2 linked regions of the Struthio camelus genome follow. The protein of the gene in region 2 interacts with the protein of the main gene of each other region in a pairwise test. Links are inferred from orthologs where the notes say so. Each region holds a gene or a part of one and is shown on either strand. Other genes may lie near its edges.

Evidence for each region.
Region 1: the proteins of FAM161A (region 2) and MIPOL1 interact in binary tests that used the Homo sapiens proteins (3 or more experiments, as listed by UniProt). The two-hybrid records come from large-scale screens. The link is inferred for Struthio camelus from reciprocal best matches to the Homo sapiens genes FAM161A and MIPOL1.

The regions. Positions count from the first base shown.
Region 1 is NC_090946.1:56,351,932-56,355,677, reverse strand, and holds the start of MIPOL1 (mirror-image polydactyly gene 1 protein), read right to left. Parts: upstream 2,878-3,746; 5' UTR 2,734-2,877; coding exon of another isoform or gene 2,667-2,733; exon of another isoform or gene 2,545-2,666; intron 1-2,544. Other genes in the region: SLC25A21 (mitochondrial 2-oxodicarboxylate carrier), read left to right, coding at 2,667-2,733.
Region 2 is NC_090944.1:131,151,607-131,155,352, reverse strand, and holds the start of FAM161A (protein FAM161A), read right to left. Parts: upstream 2,255-3,746; 5' UTR 2,049-2,254; coding exon 1,977-2,048; intron 578-1,976; coding exon 333-577; intron 1-332. UniProt on the Homo sapiens protein: Involved in ciliogenesis.

The DNA of each region.
Region 1 (3,746 bases), on a different chromosome or scaffold from region 2:
ATCAGTCCTACTGTGTTAACACAGACAAGGATATTCATTTTGAATCAGAAATCCTTCATATAATCTTCAAAGTGAGGCTGAATACTGGGTGTGATTTTGGGCATCTTGAAATAGAGCTAGGAGGCTAGATTTGCTGGCAGCTTTTCAAAAGGGAAGGAAAACAAAGGTGATTTTGCCATCCTTATTTTTTAACTCCTCTTTCCTGAACCTCATCTATTCTGAAAAAAGACTGCTTTGTCCACGCAACCAAGACATTAGTTTATGCTAAACTCATGTAATAGCATAGATATGTAACAGCATAGATAATTTGTAACTAGGTGAACCTATGTATTCTTGCAAAACAGTTACTAAAGACAGATGTTAGTACAAAGTTCTTTCCTTATGGAATCACAGTTAGATCTGTTTTTTATGCCCAAATACTATGCTTATGTGCTCTTTTTCGTGTCTGATAGGTATTTATCTGCAGTCTGCTCCATGATAGTTTAGTAAGAGCAGGGCTTCCAGGTGTCCATTTGGAGATGTTCTTGGAGGCAGTGACTTTAAGGTAAAATCCTAGGCATAGTGAAACCATGGGCATTTTGCTAAAATCAGCATTTTATGATCCTGACTATAGGAGTAGATGTAGTATAGCAGAGTTAAAGAAAATACCTACTGTTTTTCCTCATCCACCCTTCCTGGAAAGGTGCCTTTAAGGTACAAGATCAATCTGCATTTATTCTAATAATACCACTGCTCTTCCTCCAATAAAAGGGAAAAAATTGACAAAAAATCCATTGTGAAGAAAGTGGAAGTACTCAAAAACTACTATTAAAGGGAAGCTACACATTCCTGAAGTTGATTGTGATTAAAATGCATTCTTTTTTTCATAAAGGTGGAATGCAGTGCAGCCAAAGAAAATTTGTTTCAGATATTGTTGTTTAAGAGAGCGTTCTCAAATCACAGCTCTCCAGATTGGATGGAAAGAAATAAAGAGGTCACTGTTAGGCTGAGAGAGAGAAGCTGGAAGGAAATTAAGCAAAACAATGAAAACCTATTCAAACAAAATTAATCTCATTTAACTGTCCAGCTCATTCACTGGCAAAGAACCTTATTTTCTACAGACAAAAGCAGTGATTTTTAGATGAGCATTTTGAGAAAGAAAAATCCTTCAAGAGGCTACAAGTGGGGTTTGTGCATAAAGTTTTGAAACGACAGTGTTCTCATCCCTCCTGGCAGGCCTTCTTTTTTTCTGAGAATCATTTGTCAAGCCTTTCCAAACACATTTTCCTGTTTTGAGAACAAATTGCAGGTGACTTAGTACTTGAAAGCCACGACTGGATAAAATGTTTTCAGAAAAGTTTTTTCATGAAGTCCTGGTAGACAACAAGTTGACCATGAGTCAGTAATGTGCCCTTGTGGCCAAGAAGGCCAATGGTCTCCTGGGGTGCATTAGGCAGAGTGTTGCCAGCAGGTCGAGGGAGGTGATCCTCCCCCCTCTCCTCAGCCCTGGTGAGGCCTCACCTGGAGTACTGTGTCCAGTGCTGGGTTCCCCAGTACAAGAGAGACATGGCACTCCTGGAGAGAGTCCGGCAGAGGGCTATGGAGATGATTAGGGGACTGGAGCATCTATCCTGTGAGGAAAGGCTGAGAGCTGGGCCTGTTCAGCCTGGAGAAGAGAAGACTGAGGGGGGATCTGTCAATGTGCAAAAGTATCTGAAGGGAGGGTGTCAAGAGGATGGGGCCAGACTCTTCTCTGTGGTGCTCAGCGACAGGACAAGAGGCAACGGGCACAAACTGAACCACAGGAAGTTCCATCTGAACCTGAGGAAAGAATTCTTCACTGTGAGGGTGACAGAGCACTGGAACAGTTTGCCCATCCTTGGAGATATTCAAAAGTCATCTGGACATGGTCCTGGGCAACGTGCTCTAGGTGACCCTGCAGGGGGGTTGGACTAGATGATCTCCAGAGGTCTCTTCCAACCTCAACCATTCTGTGATTCTGTTTTGAAATACCCTTGTCCTTTAAACACTGAAGAACTGGTAACAAAGTCCAAAGGTCTTAAAAGAACAGTATGCTTCAGAAAGAGAGCGGGTGAGCCCAGCAGCACCACCAATGCTTCCTGGAAGTGGAGTACCAGAGAATTCACGGGGGTGTTACCTGGGTCTCGGCAACGGTGCGGGGGCAGGAGTGCCACAGAAGAAGTGGGTGCTGCATGGCACAGGCCCAGAAAAAAGGGCTGAACGGCACGGGTCTGAAGAGGTCACAGGCTTTCCCCATCAGTTCTCTGTCAGACCGCCAAAGCTTTGCCTCCCTGCCCCAGCAAGGCGGTTCCCAGGGCCTGCTGCCACAGCTCTCCCCGAGCGGGGGCTGCCTCCCAGGGCGGGAGGCTGCGATTCTCCCGGCTGGAACCGATCGCGGTGCCCCTTGCCCGCCGTGATCAGCCGCAGCTGCGAGGCCCCACTCTGCCCACGGGCTACAAAGGCCGCTGCGCGGCAGCGCGGGCTCCGCCAGCGCGGGGCCTGAACCGCGCGCGCCCCCGCCCTCCCCCAGCCGCGCCGCGGCCCCGGCCCCGGCGCAGATAACCGCGGTCTGCGGCTCCCGCCCCCGCGGCGGGCGGGCCGGCCGGCCCTTCCCCCCCGCCCAGCGCAGCTCTGCTCGGCGGGCCGCTCTCCGGGCCCAGAGGAGCATGGCTGGGAAGCGCGGCGGCTTTCTGCAGGAGGCCTCTCACCAAATCGTCGCTGGAGGCTCGGCGGGTAAGCGGGCGCCTTCCTGCCCCAGCCCTCAGCGGCCGCCTCGTCGCCGCGCCGCCGCCGCTGCCTTTCGCTCTCCTCAGGCGCAGAAGCGGCGGCGGCGGCGCTTAGCCTCGCGCGGCGGCGGCTCCTCCCCCGCCGGGCGGCGCTGGGCGGCCCCGCGGGGTCGCGGTGGCGGCCCCGGGCCGGCGGTGGGGCAGGCGCCCCCTCGGGCCCGGGCGGGCCGGGCCGGGCCGCGGCAGCTGGGTCCGCGGCAGCGCTGGGGCCGGGGGGCGGCGGGAGGCGGCGTGCCCGCCCCGCCCTGCCCTGCCCTGCCCCCCTCCCTCCCCGCTGCGGGAGCCTCGGCGGCCCGCGCCCTGCAGCCCCTGGGCTGATAAGGGGCTGCTGGCTGGCTGTGACCGCCCTGCTGGCCCCCGGTGATCGTCTCTAACAGGCGGCCGTTGCTTCTTTCCTTTCTTTGAACGTGGACTTAGTGCAGTCTCTGTGACCCGCGTGCTTGCCGGGGGCCCGCGTCAGCCTCCAGCGGCGCGTTCATGCCGGGTGGAAAAACTTCGTTCCGTTTTTGAAATGTGTTTGCTGTGGCGCTTTCCCTTTGACGCTGCCTCATAGAGAAAACGACGCTAGAGCGAGCTGCGAGTGTCAAAACTACATATGTTTACCCAGCAGTGAAAGTATTACTAGTTCATTTCTTTGGTCCCTGTTTAGGGAGAGACTTGGATTATTTAGTTTAACGGCGTACAGAGCATTTAGATGGAAATACTGCTCTCTCAGTGGGAGTTTGTGTCCTGTTAGCATTTCAACTCTGTACTGTTTTTTAATTGTTCTTAAGTATCTCCTTCTGGGTCGAAATGCCCTGTTTGTTCTGATGGTGCTCTTGTAGGTCAAGCCTTGTTTTATGCTTATTCTTTGCAGCACAAGCTTTTTTGGGGGGCACATCCATAGAAACAGTCCCAACAAAATTCACCAGTGCGAGTAAAACAAATATGGAAGTAAAATGTTGTTTAGATACCTGGCAA
Region 2 (3,746 bases):
AAGAGAAGAACATGGGGCATTCACTCCAAATCATAGTTGTAAAGTAATTTAGATTAGGAATAAATCAGCATTTCTAAAGGAAAGGCACCATGCTTTACTAAACATGCTGCCCAGTCGCAGCTTCACACACACCCCTGTAAATCTCATAGTTCATTAGCAAGGTGAGTAAGCATTTTTAAATATTAAAGCTAGCTTTTTATGATTATCTACTTATCGGAAATGGTAACTTTCCAGCTTCAGAAAAAAATTGCCATACTTACTGATGTCTGCAAAGCACTTTAGAACCTTCAGACAGAAGGCACCACCAAACTGAAGATTATTATTAAACTTACCTATAACATATATTAGGAGCAGCATCTTTTTTGTCCAAAGATTGTGCTCCTTTTAGGTGTAGTTTATTCCGATACATACTTTCTAATTTCGCCATGGTCTCCAGGTGGGCGTTCTTCAGTTCTTCTAGCTTCAAGTAATATTCTTGATTTGAATTGCACATTTTGGAAAAGTCCATCCACTTGTCACAGTTCCCATTTACAGAGGTCTGCTCTTTGTCAGTATTTGAATCCAAATCAAAACCATCCTGGAAGAGATTTTTGTCAAGTTTTGTGAGTGTTAGAAGAAAGGGGACCGAGGTTCATAATATCACTTTATCTGATTAAGTCCAATGAATGGTACAGTAACATCAGAGATACATATGTACAGATTTGAATGCAACATTATATGGAATAGCCTTATTGTATAATAATTTATATACTAAGGGTTCTATCTAAAGCATGTTAAATTCTTAACAGTCTATCCCTGTAATCAGGATATTATATCAGGAAATAAGATCAAAAGGAGTTATTAAAAGTATAACTTGTTTAGCACTGTAATTTTTCCTTGGTGAATTTTTTCCCATGGTGAAACATGCAGCTTAAAAAACCCACATTTTTTAAACAAACTTCTCTGCCTCTCATTTTCATAAGTATTCTCATAATAAGTCATGTGGTATCTTTTGCATAAATGTTTCTATTATTATTTCACAGTGAATTGTGGAAATGGGAAGTATTTTGCATAACTTTCACTTTAAATAGTGTTTCCGCCAGCTTGCACTTTGGGGCAGGTAAGCACGTTCTTTAAACATAAAGCTTGAACAAGTCAGAGAAGTAAGTATTATTAAAAAAGGCTTCTTTTAAGTCATTTTTTGGGCACTATGTTTTAAGAAGTTACAGGGTTAATTTCTTCATCTAAACAATTAGGATAATACTGTTCCACACAGGTATTTTAATAGGCTTTTACATGCCAACCAAAAAAGCCTTGTTTATGTTTTGTCATGTTTTCGGTCCAAAAATCTCAAACTTGTTTTCTCCGTAACGCAGCGATCAAACATAAAGCGAATGCCATGATCAAATAAATGAATTTAAAAAGCTGTTAAAGCATGCCCGATGAAAGGCACCAGCTGAATCTTCCTGAAGCTGTTTCTTTTGACACTGTGTATGCCTCTCTCATTTCAGTTCTTCATCCACGGAAAGACCCCGTCTTTTCCCTCAAGGCAGGCACCCCGCTTCTTCAATCCGCTCTTGGATCCCTTCGGCCCGACGAGCTCATTAAGAGCTCTGCGCCGGCCCCGGCAGCGCAGCACGGCCATCTGTTCCGCGTGCTAAATCAGGCAGATCTCGTCCCCTGCGTCTGCTCTTCCGCCACGTCACTGGTAAGGTCTTCAAAAACGGGAGCTTCCCAGGCTATTTTTACCCCGAGAGCAGCAGCAGCAACGTCGCAGCCAGGCCCCGGGGCGGCGGCGCTCCCCGCTGCCGGCGCAGCTCGGGCTCCGCAGCGGCTCCCACAGCTCGGCCGCCGCCTCCTTCGGCAGCCCCTGCCCGCCGCCCGCTTACAGAGAAAACCCGTCCCACCCGCCTGCCCCCCCCCGCAACAGCAGCCTTGCTGCTGCCCAGCGCCGCCGCCGCCCGCGGCCTCCCGCTCCCGGCGCGGCCCCGCGGTACCTGCTGGGGGGCGGCGGGGGCCCGCGGGCGCGGGGGGCGGAGGCCGGAGGCGGCCCGGGGCGCCGCCGCCATGGCGCCGGCGGCCGGCCGGTTGCGTGCGGGGGGAGAGCGCGGTGGCTCTGAACGCAGACTGCTGCTCTCCGCCCGCCAGCGCCGTTTCTGGCTCTTGACGGGGAGCCGGCAGCGGAGGCTGCTGGGGCCCGGCGGGCTCCTGCCTGTTGGGCGGGAGCCGCGGCGAGGGGATGGGGAGGGGGGGCCCGCCGCCCCGCCGCGGCACGGCCGGCTCCTGCCGCCCTCGCTGCGTCTGCGCCTTCGGCGCTGCAGGGCGGGGTCGGGCCGCGGCCGCCGAGCCGCTCGGCCTGCGCGGCGCCGTGGCCGAGGGCGCCGCCCCGCGCACCGGCCCGGCGGCGGCGGCTCCCCCGCGCCGCTGGGCTGCCGGTGCCGCCTTCCAGCTGCGAAACGGGCATGACCGCGAGCCGTCACGTGCTAGCGAAGAGACACATCAAATACTGCATTGAAATTCGTGTCTGTTCAGTCTGAGGGCAAAAAAAAAAAAAAAAAAAAAACCCACCCAAACCCACCATTCCTACTATACAGACTCATCTCCTAGATAACTTTTTGCAGGATTTTTGCTGGAACGCTGCATTCTCTTTCCCAAACCCAGTCTCCCCCCTGCCCCCAGCTCGAATTATTAAGCACTCTGCTACTTTAAGAGCAGTTCCTACTTGAAATGAGCAAATAGTTGCAGAATAAGGGTAAACTGGGATCATCAGGAATACTCTTCCACTTCCATTAATGATGGCTGGACCTATTTATTTTAGTGAAATTACAAGTACTTTTTAATGCAAAGAAACAGATGAAATGATCACATTGTACAGGCTAGCTGTTAAATCTTGTCAAGAATTGGAAATCTGTGAGGATTGGGAAGGAAAGCTCTAATCAAGAATTAATACCTGAACTGGATAGATCAGTTTAAAAGACTGGCCTCATTGCTGGGAGTAATCCTGTGAGGTAAGGCATAATTCATATTTTTAATTAGCCAATAAATCATGCATACAGAGCTTAAAGCCTAAATCAGTTAATTTGTCTTCTTTTTAAAATATCTGAATTATTCTGAATGATATACATAGCCATAAAAGTGATGATTTCAACTAAACCTGGTCAACACATTCAGTAACAGAAACTTCCTCAAAAGCCACACATCTGATTTTGATAGCAAATAAAAATGCAATAAATTTTGGGAAGAGAAATAATCTCGTTTAAATATAAAGAAGAATCTGATCATCTCAATATAGCAACGAAGAGGATTACAGCATTAATTCAGACTTTCATCCTAAGAGTTAGAAGCAAGTTGAAATATTTTTACCCTAAGCCATAAAATGTAGTTAACATTCACTCTAAACTGAATGAATCCTGATGTAGCCAGGATTCTCCTGTTAGCCAAGGTAAAACCACTGCAGTGCAGGTCACAACCCTGCTAACAGCTCAGCCCCATGAAGTGACCCTACTCATCCTGTGTACGCAGTGCTAGCTAACGCACTGTCCAAGATGCGGCAAGACCACGAAGCTGCCTTTTCGAACAAGAGTACGTATTTCCTCCAGGTATTAATAGAATTTAGGATGTATTTGATGAATTGCTTCTTAAAATAGGGCAATTTATCATTTGACTTCCCAGCCTGTTTTGGGAAAATCAACTAACTGTTGCAGTGATCTCACACAATCTTACCATTTACTTTCACAGCTATTAACCCTTTTCTTAGAAAGAGTATA